Coturnix japonica: one gene and its partner. The protein of the gene in region 1 purifies or fractionates together with the protein of each later gene. This does not show direct contact. Links are inferred from orthologs where the notes say so. Each region holds a gene or a part of one and is shown on either strand. Other genes may lie near its edges.

Region 1 (8,467 bases):
GATAAACCCTACCTCTGTGATAGCTTTTCTTACAGCACTCCAGTGAGAGTCTGTTCTGGAAGAAAAAAAGAAAGATTTTTCTTTCATAACATGTTATAGTCATGTGGACAAAAATCTGAACACTAAATACATGCTTGCTGCATTATCCAATGAGCTGAAACATGAGGTGACATGAGGAAGGGTGGGCTTCCAGGTGGTGGCAGAGAAGTGACAGAGGCAGCTGTTCCTGTGGAGAAGCAGATTTTGGTTTGGACAGGAAGAAGGGCTGAAGTTCAGCATGAAAGTCCATTCCAGCTTCTCCATTAGAACTTTTTGTCAGTGAGGCCCAGGCTCTTGGAAGCCCAGGGCAGGCGGGAAGCTGGGCCTTTGCTCAGCTCTGGACAAAGAAGACTGAGGGTGGATGGAGGGCAGCAGAGATACCCCCACCAGGGCAGCACCACAGGATGGGAAAGGCCTTGGCACCCCCAGCACCTGGTGGTTGCTATGAGGGTGGCAGTTGGCCAACGTTATACTTATTTGCCTTTGCATCATTCCATTTACCTTTTTTTAATTTCAGTTCCATCTGCTGTTTCATCCACCACTTCTATGTGTCCATCACTTTCCTCTTGGCTTTCATCTTCATTATGGACCTATAAATCAGATTCAGAAGGGATAAGTGCTGGATTTTTTCACAGTTGTGCTCTTAAAAATGTTTTCTCCAAACACAGCACACGTGAATGGCTTAGAAGAGGAGATCTGTCTGTAACGACTGTCACTGAACAACTCTGCCCTTAGGTCTGCAGCTACAGCAGGGGATTGGACTATTCCTACAAAGACATTCTAAGCAAGAAAAGAGCCACCCAACAAACCCTATGTTCTGAAAAGTGCTGTTCCACTGCGTAAAGGTCAGTCTAGCAGAGCTCAGTGAGCCAAATTGTGTACCCACATTTACACGTCCATCACAGCTGTACACTGGATACATGCCCAAGAATAAACATACTAACACAAGTAAGCCATTAAAAAAACAGGGGGAGGGAACAAAACTTTAACAATCAATTTCAAAAAAGGTCTTTTCCCATCAAATCACCAACACAACCCGGCTTTTACATGAACTGATGCTTCACATGAATCACGAAAAGCAAGGATTAGTCCACTACAGCTTGGAGCCTTCAGAGCTGATCTTTAGTGGCAGACTACAGCACTAAAATACCACTGCATGCACACGTAAGCACTGTGACCGATTTCAGGCAGCAATATGATTAATGTACATAGCACTACAGAGGTGAGGCTAGAACAGGAGGCCGCATGCAGCACACTAACCGCCAGATAGGTCCTAGGCACGAGGCCTCTCTCCCCTTTTGAGTTCTCGGCTACCCACCAGCCATCCGCCTTCTTATCATGTATAAGCAGGACTTCACCTTTCTTTGCCATTAGGAGAGATGGAGAAAAAAGACAACCAAATATTTCAAAATGACACCAAACACGATTTGAATAACAATTCAATTGTTCTCTCTCACAGGTCACAGACTACAGCCACAGATTCTGCTGCTACAGAAAGAGGCAAAAGAACGCTGAACTGCAGTAAGGGAAATGCAGACTGGGGGAAGCCTTTCTTCCTCAAATCTTTCTGAATCCCAAAAGCATAGGATTTCATTATTGCCACCACTTAATACAGAATGACCCGCAGCACCAACATGGCAATCAATTCTATGGGCCTGCTTACCGTAAATGTGAGGTCCCCTTCCTGCTGTGCATTAAAGCTTCCCACTGCAATGCATTCTTTAACATCAGGATCATCCAAGTTATCCCCATCTTCCTCATCTGCTTCTTCACTTTCTTCTTCCTCACTGCTTTCACCATTGTCATCAGCACCCTCATCCTCTTCTTTATCTTTGTGTTCTCTCCGAGAATCTTTCAGACTCCCCTTGTTCCTACCCAAAATAAATCAAACTTTTTATTCACTTTTTAATTTTATATATATATATATATTTTAATTGCTGTTAAAGCCTTACAACACGGGCTTCCCTGTGTTATCCAGAAATCTCTTTGTAGACTCTGGCCTGACCTGAAATGGTTTTTCATCCCTAAGAATACAGACCACAGTACAACCTACGTTATATCTCAGCCATTAAACAAAATCCTCGGAAAACTGCAGCGAGGCTCTCTTGATTTCATTAATAAAACAAGCCCCAGGAGAGCCAGCTCTTTTGCAATAACTAATAAGGAGGATAAGCAGTCTTTGAAGGTTCTTTCCAGTGCTGTATGTATGACACTATTTAAGTACAGATGCTTGTTTGGGTTACTTACACCGTGTCCTTTGTAGCTGCATTGTCCTTATCCAAGACATGACAAAATTTCTGCAGCTGCTGGGATAGCTTTAGCAACAGCTTTTCTTCTTCTTCTTTCCTCTGATCGTAATTCCCCACAGGCGCAGGCTCGTCAGCCTGAGGAAGGAAAATACAACAAACCTGGTGTTTCTCTACAGTTTTACAGACACATCTCATGAGTTTTGATATTCCACAGCAGTGATAACTCCCTGCTTATGATATTTTATTGCCTTTTACTTCAACAAAATGAACTTTCACACTACATTTTCAAACTACATTCTCCTCTCCCAACACAATGGAGTGGGTTGATAAACACCTTTAAATATATTGGGTCAAGAAAGATTTTAATGCGCATAACAAAGCATTAAGAATATGCTTTCAGATCATATACATTAATCTCAGAGATCCCATTCGTAGGTTATGTGGTGCTAGGCATTACTTTCATCCTGAGGCATCTGAAATTGAAGCAGGTTACCATTCTCTGAATATTTACCACAATATGTTACAGGGAAAACCATTAGCAAGTCTCTATACCTACCTTTTTCAAACTACGAAGAGTATTTGTATTCTCGTCCACCAGTTTCTGCAGCTGAAAACACCTGCATTGAAAGCAAGACAGACAGCGTTACCTTACATCTGGTTGACGGGATATTGAATCACAAAATCACTTAAATGCGTATGTTTAGATGCCCATACCTTCTCAAAGCTGTATGAACACAAAGCTTTACAAAAAGAGACCAGTTTAATTCCGTCTGTAATTCATAAACCAAGCGTTTGGTGTGTCCTTAGAAGCAGTGTTTTAACAAAACTCAAGAAGCAGCAGCAGCAGATTTGGAGCAGAGGGACAAAATAAGATAATCTCCTGGCTCTGACAAGTTCTTGGTGTCAATCATTCACACAAGAATCCCTGAAGAACAAAGGGATGCGCAGCTTCACTGCTTGTTACCTGTGATGTGCAAGTTCCTGCTTTAAACAACTTCAGCCTTGAGGATTTCAGACAACCTGTGTGGTTACCCGTGCTACATCACTTCACAGGCACTTGCTGTCACTGCCCACACCCAGCACTGGGCAGGGTGCTGAGGGAGCCTGTTGCTGTTGCTGTAGCCTAGTGCTGCTCGGGGATAAGGCAGGAGTGCCACTGCACTATGAAAGCTGAACCCCTGCTTTCCATAATGCCCCAAAGACCAGGTAACACTGCATTAAGTAGAGGCTCTGGTGACTTCCCAGGCTGAACCTCAGCAAGAGAGAGCTGGTTCTGTGTCCTGGTATAGCATAAGTGGAGGCAGGTGATGAGTGGTGTCCCACAAGGGTCTGTCTTTGGATGTGCACTTCTGCATCTTTATCAGTGACTCTGACAGTGGGATTGAGTGTGCTGCTGACAGCACGCTGAGTGGTGTAGCTGATACAGCAGGGGAAGGTGGGATCGTTCAGCCTGGAGAAGAGAAGGCTGCGGAGAGACCTCACTGCGGCCTTATGGTGCCTCAAGGGAACTCATAAATAGGAATGGGAGCAAATTTTACAGTCTGAGTGTCAGGACAAAGAGGAATTTGAGGTTAGACGTTAAGGGGAATTTTCACTCAGAGGCAATGAGACGGACACAGGCTGCCCATAGAACACAGAATGCCCCACTCCTGGTGGTGCCCACGGCTGGATGGAGCCCTGGGCAACAGGGTCAGGTTGGGGTCAGCAGTTTAAGGCGGGGGTTGGTGCCCAATGGTTGTTAAGGTCCGTTCCATCCCCGGTACCGAGCTCCAGGCGCCCCGCAGCCCCGCTCACCTCTGCCTCAAGGCCTCCCGCTGCCCCACGGCCGCGCCCGCGCTCTCTGCCCGCAGCGCCTCCACCTGCAACACAGAGGGGTGCCGTCAGCTGCCGGAAGGGCTCCCCAGCGGCTGCCGGTACCGGTACCGATACCGGTACCGGTACTGATGCCGATACTGATACCGGTACCGGTACTGATACCGATACCGATACTGATACCGATACTGATACCGGTACTGATGCCGATACTGATACCGGTACCGATACCTGCGCCCGCAGCTCCCTGCTCTGGCGCTGCACTCTCTGCAGTGGGCTGCGCGCCCGCCGCCCCGTCATGGTCGCTGGGCAACGGGCGGCGCTGGGAGATGGCGTCACTGCCGGGAGCGCCGCGAGCGTGGGCCGGGATGGAGGATATGGAGTGTATGGAGTATGAACACACAGCAGGAACGAACACACCGAGTCCGACACACACACTCGTTTAATGCCCCGTTTAATGCCCCGTTGGTGCTGCCGGGCGCTGCTCCGTCTCCCCGCTCCCCACTCGTTCCGTCACGCCGGGATCCGCCGCTCGCTGCGCGCCGTGTCCTCACCCACGGCAGCGATGAGCCCGCGGTGCGGTCGGTTCGGTCCGTGTGATCAGCGCTGGCTCCGGGCATCGCCGGGCGGCGGGTCCGCGTGGCTCCGGCCGTACGATCGGGAGCCGGGCAGGGCGGCGCGGGGTCAGGCCGCCTCCAGCTGCTGCCGGGCGGCGTCCAAGCGGCGCTGCAGGCGGCTCTGCCTCCAGCGCAGGAAGCGGCGGCGGGCGCGGGCGGCCTGCCAGCCCACCACGACACCGGTGGCGAAGGCGGCCAGCAGCGCCCAGCGCACCGAGCGGGGCCTCAGCGCATCCAGCACCATCGGGAACGTGGCTGCAGCGCTGCGGGCGGACCCTGCGGCTGCCGCTCCTCCTCCCGGCCCTTCCTCCGCCTCCCGTTTCCGCCGGCGGGGCGGGCCCGTTAAATGCCGCGGGGTCGGCGGGAGGTGAAGCGTTTCCCCGGCCATGGCTGAGGCTGCTTCGCAGGTAGAGCCCTCGCCTCGGGCTGGGAGGTGGCACGGGGTGTAGGGCGGCGTGTGCTCCATCCCCGCCTGCGGGGCAGGGATATCGCCCTCTGCCCCCCTCCCCAAGCACCCCCTGACCTGTGTTTCTTCCCCTCCCCAGGAGCTCCTGCTGGCTGCAGCGTTTGTCTCTGATGCTCAATACAACAGAAATATCCCTTTTAAGACTTCCCCCGAGGCTGTCAGGTAAGGGGGCTGCAGGGCTCCGCTCCCCCAGGCAGCCTGGGAGGGGGCTGCGGTGGGTTCCTTCTCCTAACGAGTAGTGGGGCAGAGGCACGGCTGCACTGAGAGGTGCTGGGGGTTGAGAGAGCTGCAGGTGGGGATGTGGCACTGAGGGGTATGGTCGGGTTGGGCTTAATGATCTCAAAGGACTTACTCCCCAGGAGGGGAGTAAACTCTTCGAAAGGGCTGATAATAGCAGGACATGGGGAAATGGTTTTAAGTTAAAAGAGGGAAGATTTAGGTTGGATGTTAGGGGAAAGTTCTTTACTAAGAGAGTGGTTAGGCCCTGGAACAGGCTGCCCAGGGAGGTTGTGGATGCCCCGTCCTTGGAGGTGTTCAAGGCCAGGTTGGACGGGGCCCTGGGCAACCTGATCTAGTAAATGTGTATGTTTGGTGGCCCTGCCAGGCAGGGGGGTTGGAACTACATGATCCTTGAGGTCCCTTCCAACCCGGGTCATTCTGTGATTCTGTGTGATTCTGTGACTTCTCCAATCTCAGTAGTTCTCTATTAGGGGGAGCCGGCCTGTGTCTGCTGAGCTGAATAGCACTTGTGAGGCTAAGTGGCCTTCTTGGGTGGGATTGTAAAGGGCTGAATTGAAGCCAGGATGTGTGTATTAGATACAACTCATTGCATCTTGTGGGAAGACAAATTAAACCTTTTCTTTCTTTTCTTTTTCTGAAGGTAAAAACCAAAATGAAGCTGTAGTGCTGGCAGAGATTAATGAGTATGGACAGCTCAGTGCTTGCCTGCATGGAAGGAAGTGCTGGAGTGTGACTGCGTGGGGTGTGAGTTACAGGGTTCTGGTAGCCAGGTAGAACGGCTCTGTGCCAGCTGGGTTGGTAATGGGGGTAACAGCTCACATGCACCAACACTTCAGCTACTCCTACGAGCTTGTGGTGACTCTGCTCAGGTGCTTTTTAGCAAGGACAGTGGCTGCTAGAAGCAAGCAGTCACTAACAGCTTGTTAATGGGCAGTCAGGTAGATGAAATTCCCAAAACCAAAGCTGTTTTGCCTGTAATATTGACTCTCCCAATTAGCTGCTGGTACAACATCAGTCCCACTTTTAATTCTCTTAGCTTAGCTATTGGAGCTTCAGGGGCTTTGTACCACACAAGTGTGTTTGCTGAGTAGTTGGACAGTTTTTACGTGGTGGTGTCTTAGTGCTGTTGTTAAGGACAGCGTTGTCATCCACTTTATCACCTGCCTTGTACCTTTGTCTGGAGTGATGGTTGGGCAGGTGAGGTGATTACCTGGCAATGCAGGCAGCCTACCAATTAGCAGAGAAACCTGGTGCTCTCTGTGTGGATGTGCTCCAAAAGGAGCCACTATTGCAGCCTCCTGTGGACGACAGAGCTGGATGTGTTCATGATTAATATCAGCAGTCATCAGAGGCTTTGCTAGAGGGGACAGGATACTTCTTGACTTGTGTGTGTACATAGAAAAGCTTACTCTGCCAGAAACTTTTGCACACTTCCCTTTTCTATCTGTGTTGATGCACCCTTCTTCCTTTACTGTTTGGGAAGTGTGTGCTGTTTTTCCAGGACACCATATGGGTATGTTGGCTGAACCCCTTATTTATGATGCCTCTGCCTTCTCTCTACAGGCTTTATTATCTCTATAACCACTGGTTTATGCGAACAGCCACCTACTTCTTCATCTTTCTCAACCTCTCCCTTGCAGTGTTTGAAGAACCTGCTGTGTATCCACTCCCTTTCCTGGTGAGTTTCCAGGCAGTGCAGAAGTGATAATGCAGCTACTATTGTGCTACTCAATGGTTCATGCTTTAGACACCTTATCAAAGTGTAAAGAGGTGGTTGTTGCTGATCTTCCTGTTCATACTTCCCATATGCTGGAATGGGGACAAAAATGGGCATAGAAACTAGATAGGGTCCCATGGACATCCATCCACAGTGGCTGATTTGATCGGGCTGTGTCGCAGTGCTCCCTTCCATATCTTCAGCCTTTGTTTTTTTCTGTACCGATGCTTGTGATTAATGTATTCCTTAAATCCTAACCAAATACAAAGTTGCAGGCTCTAACCTGCACTCAACAGGGAATTCCACAAAAGGAAGCCTACAACTATTGCCAATGCATGAGCATATGGAACAGCCAGCAGCAAAACTCACTGGCGAGACTTTTATATGGGCCCTATTTATTTTGTCTTGCCTCTACCTCAGCCTGAGAATCCTTATCTGTATGAAGAAGACTAGAGTTGCTTTTCTTAGTCCTGACATGAGTCCCTTGTCTGCCTGCAGGCCACTTCCTCAGTGGAGGTGTTGTGCCTTCTGGTGTTCTTTGGCCGATTGATGCACTTTGCCAAAATCACCCGTCGCAATGTGTTTTGGAAGGATACCAAGAACATCTGCATCATGGTCGCAATCCTGGTGAGCTGGGAGTCACAAGGGCTGAGCTGGGCTATGTGGAGGCAGCTTTTTGTTCCTGCTGTGTCCTTTCTGGGGTCTGCTGTACGAGGGCCGTGGCCAAAGCAATTGGTGCATCAGCCTGTTCTCACAAACCTGGTGTATTTGTATCTGCCTGGTCTAGATGGTGAAGGTAACTGGATTGGCTCATACATGGTTCCAAACTTGTTTCTGTGGATTTTGATCCTCTTTCTTCTACAGCTGTCTCTGACTGATTTGGCCATATACGGGGCCCTCAGGATATACAACATAAAGAGTGTTCGATGGTCGAGAATAGTGAGGCCCATCTTCCTGGTCAACTTTGCAGAGAGCCGCCAGGTAAGGAAGGGATCTAATGGGAGGAATTCCTGCTTCTGGACAGCGTGCTGCTTTCTGAGAACTGAGGGAATGGAGTAGAATGTAGAACAGCAACGTTCAGATTCCTTTAAGTGAATTTCTGAGATGACCTGGAGCAAGACTTTGAGATGGAGAACAGGGTACATTCACAGGGATGCTGCTTGAGCATAGTGCAGAGTACTGCAAAGCATCTTATGCCTGTGGACTGGGTTGCTGCTGTCCACAGCCCTGAGCATGCTTGAGACTGAAACCAGGGCGTCGTGCCATACACAGTGCTGTCCTGTCATCTTTGCTAAAGACTGACACTGCATAGAAAAAAGGATAATGT
Region 2 (7,789 bases), on another chromosome or scaffold:
TGATGGGGTTAAGCTGCACTGCACAGAATAGGAGGGTGCTGGGGGTGGGCTCAGGTGCTGTCACACCATTCTGGTTCAGCAGCAGCCCCACACCTGGCTTTCCATGCTCCCTGTGACAGCATGCTTGTGTGCAGGCAGGGCCCAGGGGATGCAATACAAGCCTTTATTGCTGTGCTGTTTCTTGCAGGAGCCCCAGGGCTGCAGCTGAGGTTTGCGGTGGACTCCACCTTCCTGAGGCCTGGGGAGCAGCGTGTCTTCATGCACTACCTGGCTGAGCACAGCCTGCAGATGGACGTCTGGGATGGGGACTCACTGCTGCTGGTCGGCTCTGCTGCTGTTAAGCTGAAGGTAAGGAGCCCTTCTCCCTCAGCCTTAATGACTGCTAATGATGAGGGAGAACTGCTTAGCATGCAAGAGTTTCAAGACGGGTCTGACTCTTCCTTCTGTCCTGTGCCGAGATGCTGTTAGATTACCCTTGAGTCTTCAGTAATCAAGTTTTTATCAGCCACTTTGTTTAACGGAGACTGATGTCAATCTGACAAGCCTGTAATCACAGGATTTGTCATCTTATCCTTGAAAGCGACGGCGGAGCATTAACTTTCTTCCCTGGAACTTCTGTGCCACGCTGAGGCTTACTGGATAGAAAAATTAAAGCAGGCCTAGGAAATGCAGAGACATCTTTATCCAGATCTCTTAATCTCTTGGATCTGAGTTGCCCCAGTAACTAGTTACCCGAACGCCTGGCTGTTATCTTCCTGGGGAGAAGCTGCAATGAAAGAGCTGCGTCTGGGGCAGCCTGGGAAAGAAATGCATCTGCTGAGAGTGGGAGATGGGTGTGTGTGATGGGGCTCTGTGCTGTGATAGAGGCACAGCAGCCTCTATCCTGCTGGAGGTGGGTGCTGCCCTATCCCTGCTTCCTCTACAGCCCCTGCTGCGCCAGGGCCGGCCGGCTGTCAGGACTCTGCATGAGCTGGAGGTTGGCACCACTGTATATGAGCAGGATGCAGCAGCAGGCAGGGATGTGCTGCGACCCCTGGGTGTCCGTGTGGCCGTGCGGGGCCGCCTGCACCTCTGCCTGGCCAACATTGGTGAGTACCCTCTGGAGCCCTTCATAGTGTTGCAAAATGTTCCAGAAAGCAAAAAGCTTTTCTGAGATACCCAACAGAGGGTGTCAGCCCTGTGACTGGGGGAGGCAGATGCTGAGCTTGGAGGCATGGAGCGCCCTGATGCTCTGCCCACCATCCCCACCTCCTGCAGGGTAGCACTGAGGCTGATGGATGCAGGCAGTGATACACAGGTGGGTAGCAGGGATGGGATGAATGGCAGAGCAGCCTGCATCAGAAACCAGAGCTGCTGAGGGTGTTATTCATCCCGGAGTGCAGCGGGTATTTTGTTATATTTAATTCACCGTCCTATAAATGTGCAGTGACTCCAGGTTTTAAACTCTTATCTTATAATGGAGCTAATCTTTCTTCTGAAGATATCTTAAATTGTCATTTTCCTACTTTGCCTGCAAAAGGATGATAAGCTCCTGGGAGGGGGGATGTGAGATTCACAACCCAGAGAGGAGTTTAACTCCAACCTGGCAAAAGAAAGGGGAAAGGAAAAACACTCCATTCCAGGACAGCAGCGGCCCTTTGGTTGCTCTGGCCTTTCAAAACACTTGTTTATTTTCCTTTTCTTTAAGTAAATTCCAACTACCTTCAGTTGGTGTCTGAGGGCTCTTGGTGCCTTGGGCTCCAGGCATGAAGTGGTGGTGGAGCAGGTTTGTGGTTCTGAAACGTCACCAAGTGAGGATGGAAACCTGAGCTGGTTCCAAAGGTTGACATTAAGTCACTTGGACGTCCCCATTGCTGTTCAGTAGGAAACTGCTCTGTCACTTAGAGAAAAGATAGATGGAGTGCAATAGCAATAGGATTCCAGAGGGATCATCGTGAAATGCAGAGAACATTGTAAGCAATGAGATATTTGCTTCCACTTTTTTAAACTGTCTGTAAAGATCTGTGGTGGGAATAACATTTTCCGGTAGATTTTGTGACACTTTAAGAGATCTATGACAATTTAAGGGGAAGAAAATGTTGGGATGTAAGTGCCTGGTAATTCAGAGGAGGTGGATGTGTGCTGGCTGTTGTCTTTCTGTTGGTTATCACCAGCACTGTCTGCTCCATGTCCTGGCTGGCTGTAACCTCCTGCTGTTACTACATGCTGCTGGTCTGCATAGCCCAGCACTCCATCCCAGCCCTGAGATGGGGCTGACCCCAGGCTCTGCCCCACCAGGTCACCACTGTGGGGAGACCCCCGTGAGCCCTGGCTGCCCATCACTGCCCCACACCCACATTGTGCCCTCTCCAGGCAGTGGCCATGAGCTGACCCTGCATTCTGGTGAGTCCTTCTGGGGGTGCTCAGCCCCTCCCTGCCATCCCCAGACTGGGGGGTGCCATCCTGCCTCGCACAGAGCTGGTGACCTGAGTGCTGTGTCCCTGCAGATGTCAGGGTATCTCGGCCCCGTAGGCTGGCTGAGGTGGATCCTGAGCTGGCTGCCATTCTGTGGAGGCACCAGCTGGAGCAGATCCCAGAACGCTTGTGTGAGTCTCATGAAGCCACAGCCATCCAGCAGCACGAGCCGCAGTGCTTGGCGGTGGAGCAGCAGCAGGATGGTGCTATCTGCAGGATCCCACAATACATGGTGAGGACAGGCCGGGTGCTTGGCACAACCTGTGCTGCCTCTGGGCTTATTGTCCCCTTCATCCCTGCAGGGCTCCATTGAGCAGCACATGAAGTACCTGCAGATCGTCAGTGCCTACCGGGAGCGCGTCAAGCACCGGTATATCACCCAAGTGCTCAGACAGGCCATGACCACCACCTACACTTTGTATGCCACGCTGGGGACGGCTGAATTCTTTGAGTTTGTCCTGAAGAACCCCTACAACGTCCAGCAAACGGTGACGGTTGAGGTTGATCACCCCGAGCTCAGGTAGTGGCCAACAACCATCTGTGTGTGTGTGTTTGTGCTCATAGTGCCCGTGGGGTCTGTTCACCATCTCCTGTCTGGTTTGGAGCTGGACCTTTCCCAGCACACATCTGTGGTGATGGGGTGGTACGTGCTGCCAACCAGCTCCATCTCTCGCTCCTCCAGTGTCATACTGGACCCGAGGGAATGGCGGCACTTCAAGGAGCTGACCCACACAGCCACCCCGCTGGAGGAGGACATGTTCCACCTGCGGGATGACCTCAAGCCTCAGGTCTACCTGCGCCCCGAGGAGACCGTGCACATTCCCTTCCGATACCAGACGTTCTCTGCAGAGCCAGTTGTTGCAGCATTGCTGGTATGCTGGGAGCTGCATCGTGTTTGGGTGCAGAGTGTGGTGACATTGCCAAGGAAACACTGCTTATGTGTCATGGGGCTTTTTCCATGACAAAACCAAGTGATATGGTTTTCCATGACAAAAGCACAAAACCAAGTGCTCTGTTTCCTGCAGGGGCCAGTGGGGCTGAGCAAGGAAGAGAATGCAGGGAGGATGCAGGAGGAGTCAAGGGCTGTGCAGATGAAGACCATCCAGGTGGGGATGCAGAGACACGTGGGGCTGCCTGCCAGCCCCAGCAATGGAGTGCTGACCTCACCATGCTGTTCCCATGTCTGGCACTGAGCTGCTCTGCCCTCCTTCCCCCCATGCAGGTGGCTTTCTCTGTGAGTGAGGGCAAACCCATTGCGCTGCTGCAGGTGAAGGTTGAGCCCCGGCCCCACGTGGTGGATCAGACCTTCCGCTTCTACCACCCCGAGCTGACCTTCCTGAAGAAGGCCATCCGCCTGCCTCCATGGCACACGCTCCCAGGTGATCCTCAGGGCTCTGCCAGCAGGTGGGGGTGGCATCCAGAGAGCGATCCGGGATGCTTTCTCTGCTTCTTGGCATCGTCAAAGGCTGTTCATGATTCTGCTATGGCCTTTGGGCTTCCTTGCTTGCTTTCTATCCATCTGCTTGCACTAATTTTGTACTCTCTTGAACCGGTCTGACCCGGTTGTTCTCCCGTAGCTCAACATAAGGGATTGCAGCTCACAGCTGCGTGATGGTGTAGAATAAAACATGAATAAAACGCTCTGTAATGTTACATGTGCTGTTGTCTCTTCCAGGAGCTCTGGTGGGGATACGGGGTGGTGAGCCTGAGGTCCATGTCCGCTGCAGTGACCCCAACGTGATCTGTGAAACCAAAAACATGGTACCACTTACACTCCTATGTCGCTTTGTCTTGTATCCTTCTGCTGTGGTTTCTTGTTTTAATCAACCCGTGGCAGCATCCTGATTTATCGGCCTATAGGGATGAAATACTGGCTGTGATTAAGGCAGAATTGCCTTCGGTTCCAATTGAAACAAGCTGCATTGTTTTGGTATCCGATGCTTCATGTTGTGCCTGTTTTACTGGAGAGTAAATAGTTCAGGGTTGGTTCCAGCCTCATTTCCCTCCTGACCTGGTGCAAATCAATACTGGTGTCTTCTTTACTATGTTCCTCTTTGGATCAAGCCCTGAAAGGTGCTTTGTGTGTCTCCCCAAACACCGCTCCTGTTTTGTGCTTCCCTGTGAGGTCTGCAGGGCTCTCTTTCTGCTGCTTGAGATAGAAGTGGAAATGAATCTGTGTGTGTGTGTGTATAAACAGAGGCAGTGGTGAAGGGTAGTTACTAATTTCCAGTGCATGATCCAATGGTAATTGGATTATGGCTTGTTAGGAAACTTAGGGAAAAATTGCCCAAATTTGATTACAGCTGCAAACCTGGAATGCAAGAAGTCGTTTGTGTCCTCTTTTGTAATTAAAAACACTGGAAGAGCTCAACCAAGCTGTATGATAACTTAATAACGTGGTTTTTAACTAGATCCTGAAAGCATCTGCTGTTGTAAGTGGGTTGGTGTGTTTTTTTTTCCTTGATAGAAAGGAAACCCTGGAGTCCTCATTAGCTGGTTTGATCTCCAGGTTAACCATCCTAACGATGCTCTGATTTCTGTGCGCAGGGTCCTGGGGAACCACAGGACGTCTTCTTAAAAGTAGCTGGAGGACCGAGCCCACAGATCAAAACATTTTTTGTTGCTATTTATACGTAAGTAACAGGAGCCAGAAAGAAGAGAAGGGACCACCCCGAGCACAGGCAGAGCAGGAGGAGCGTTTCCCATCAGTGTTCTCTTGCTGGTTCCCCAGCTCTGCTTGCTGAGCTGGGCAGGAGGCTTCCCAAAATACCCGTTTGCTTTTCCAATCTCTCTTAAATAATGGTGTGAGTGTAGGAGATGGCCTCTCTGTCTGCAGGCTTAATTCATTCTCTCTGCATGAGCAAGGCTGAAATTCCTTTGGAGACGTTTGCCCAAAGCTTGAGGTGCTCTTGGGGCCGAATGCACCAAGTATGGACTGTGCCATTGCTTTGTTCTGCTGCAGGGATCCCTGGCTGGCCAAACCGCAGCGCATCTGGCAGGTCTACCTGCATTCCCTGCAGCGTTTGGATGTCAGCTGCACTGCAGGGCAGCTCTCCCGCCTGGCCGTCCCGCTGCGCGGCACCCGCACCCTGCGCAGGGTGAAGGCGTTCTGCTCCCATCCCCATGAACTGAAGGTAATGCCATGGGGGTCCCTGCTGGGTCCCCTTGGGGGCTGGCCTGGGTTGGTAGCACTGTGAGCCTTGGAAATGCAATGGGTCCCGTTTGGAGTTAGGGAGAATGTACTGCCTTTGTGATAATTACCTCTTGATTAAAGCTGTCATGTGTAGGATCGTCGGTACAAAACCCCAGAGGGCAAATTATCTGCGTTAATGAGACTATCTGAAGACTATTAATTTCTTTTAGAATTCATTTAGTCATAATTGTAAATGGGAGTAATGAAAGGAACAAAAACTCCCTTCCTGTCCCATAAATAAAGGAAAAAAATCCCAGCTATCAGAGGCTGCAAGAAGGAACGAATCCCATTGAGGATGGGAGCACGGAGGTGTGTGCCATTGAATCCAGGCTTGGGGACTGCCTGCAGCCCATCCCATACCAGCATTGTGCCTCGGCTGTGCTGATGTTGGGTTCTGCTGCAGTGCTCAAAGCGAGCAGTGTGGGTAGGAGAAGATCCCTGCAGCTCTTGGGAAAGTGCTGGTAGGGTCCTCTTGCTGTTGGTATGGGCACTGTCATGCAGCCAGATCTTCTACATTAATATAGATGGGATTAAATATTCCTATCATAGGTGTACGTTCCTTAGTGTAATCAGAGCTCATTTGTATTCTGAGCTGGACTTCATGGAGGTGCAGATTCCCTCCCAGCTGTTCCTGCCATGGGGTGCCTGCCTGCCTTCCAAAAACGATCTGCACGCCGTTTGTCTTCATTTATTCCTCTGCTCCCTCTCAGGGGGGGATGCTGGCGGCAGCTGTGAGCGATGCTGATGCTGTCTCCTCACTGAGGACACCCTCTGTTATGGCTTTTTGTGACTTGTAGCATCGGGAACTGAGGGAGGAGGTTCTGATGGGCCCTGAGCTCCTTCCTCTGCTCTGTGTTTGCAGGTGGACCCAGCAGATGCGTTCTTCCTGCCCTCCAATGGCCTCGTGGATCTGTTTGTGGGTGTGAGGCCGCTCCGGGCTGGCAGCAGATTCTTCTACCTCAACCTGGTGGATGTGGAGTGCCACCAGCTGGTGTCCTCCTGGCTGCTCTGCATCACCTGCCGGCAGCCTCTCATTTCCAAGGTACTCACGGGGAGGAGGGTCAGCATGGTGACCCCATTGGGCTGGGGGCTGTGCCATGCTGATAGCCCGGGGCTGGCTGCTGCTTATTGCTTCATCTACACCCACTTTTGGCATGTATTCTCCTCCTCTGTGCATGAGGAGGGATGTGTGCTGGGGGCTGTGCTGCTGTGCTATCGATTGCCAGCCGAGCGCTTGGTCTTCGTGCAGACGCTGCCATTATTCCCAACTGTCACGAACAAGGATCCTAAAGCCAATTTCTAAGAATTACTGACAGATTAGAGATTAACTGTCCTCTTTGAGTTAATCTCCTAAAGCGGTATTGCAGTGTAACTCTGGGTCACTTGTCTTTACCTGCCACAATTGCAGGATGTGTGTGGACTCTACCCGTGCTGCCTGTTCCTATGCCCATTTCCCCACCTCTCTTAAACACTGGAGCACATGTTTAGCCTTCTAGTGCCTGAATAATCTCACTGAAGCCCACCGTAAAGTATCTTTCAGCCTGTTTTGAAGGCAATTCCACGCTGAGGAATGTCAACTCTGAAGTATACCCAGTTGTGAAATTAAAGTTACAGCATGCTGCTTTCTATTAGCACTGCACTAGGTTAGGGCTTTGCTCAAAGATAGCAAATTAGATCTCCCAGTTAATGTGTTCGTTTTAGAAATGTTTTTCCTGGAACACTCGGAGCTGGATGAGGTTGGAGAGCAGCATTTAAACTGATGTCACTCCACTCCTGATGAGCTCGAGCCCCACTCCCTGTGCTCTGCCATGTTATCTGAATTAGCACCGTGGTTATCCCCATGGAAATAAATTAATTAGTCGGAGCGTTGGTTGGCCAGTCCCCAGCTGCTCCTCTGGCCCTTTGTCACCCGGTCTCATAATTAATTCTGTGGATGTAGTGATGCAAACTGCAGCCTGAGGAGAGATGCTTTTACTCAGAGGTCGTTCCACGTGTAGCTGATGGCAGGAACTGAGTGCACGGAGCAGAAGGGGAGTGGGACAGAGCAGCAAGGTGTGCTGGGCTGCCCCTTGGGTGCACAGCAAAGCAGCCTAGGCTCTGTCTGACCTCAGTGCTGTTCTGTGCCTTGCAGGCCTTTGAGAT

What was found. Proteins that work in one complex are often made in the same cells at the same time.
Region 2: the proteins of NPHP1 (region 1) and NPHP4 purify together in Homo sapiens (co-immunoprecipitation; 6 studies listed by BioGRID and IntAct, with this or other methods). This does not show direct contact. The link is inferred for Coturnix japonica from reciprocal best matches to the Homo sapiens genes NPHP1 and NPHP4.

The regions. Positions count from the first base shown.
Region 1 is NC_029518.1:4,649,517-4,657,983, reverse strand, and holds the start of NPHP1 (nephrocystin-1), read right to left. Parts: upstream 4,503-8,467; 5' UTR 4,401-4,502; coding exon 4,332-4,400; intron 4,148-4,331; coding exon 4,083-4,147; intron 2,906-4,082; coding exon 2,845-2,905; intron 2,424-2,844; coding exon 2,287-2,423; intron 2,134-2,286; exon of another isoform or gene 1,911-2,133; coding exon 1,703-1,910; exon of another isoform or gene 1,499-1,702; intron 1,402-1,498; coding exon 1,300-1,401; intron 885-1,299; exon of another isoform or gene 630-884; coding exon 541-629; intron 56-540; coding exon 13-55; intron 1-12. Other genes in the region: MTLN (mitoregulin), read right to left, coding at 4,785-5,183; two pore calcium channel protein 1-like, read left to right, coding at 5,104-5,124, 5,263-5,345, 6,987-7,101, 7,639-7,767, 8,005-8,121. UniProt on the Homo sapiens protein: Together with BCAR1 it may play a role in the control of epithelial cell polarity. Involved in the organization of apical junctions in kidney cells together with NPHP4 and RPGRIP1L/NPHP8. Does not seem to be strictly required for ciliogenesis.
Region 2 is NC_029536.1:572,651-580,439, forward strand, and holds part of NPHP4 (nephrocystin-4), read left to right. Parts: intron 1-187; coding exon 188-348; intron 349-925; coding exon 926-1,088; intron 1,089-2,277; coding exon 2,278-2,382; intron 2,383-2,486; coding exon 2,487-2,686; intron 2,687-2,756; coding exon 2,757-2,974; intron 2,975-3,136; coding exon 3,137-3,326; intron 3,327-3,479; coding exon 3,480-3,560; intron 3,561-3,676; coding exon 3,677-3,833; intron 3,834-4,129; coding exon 4,130-4,215; intron 4,216-5,001; coding exon 5,002-5,087; intron 5,088-5,416; coding exon 5,417-5,588; intron 5,589-6,509; coding exon 6,510-6,689; intron 6,690-7,778; coding exon 7,779-7,789. UniProt on the Homo sapiens protein: Involved in the organization of apical junctions; the function is proposed to implicate a NPHP1-4-8 module. Does not seem to be strictly required for ciliogenesis. Required for building functional cilia.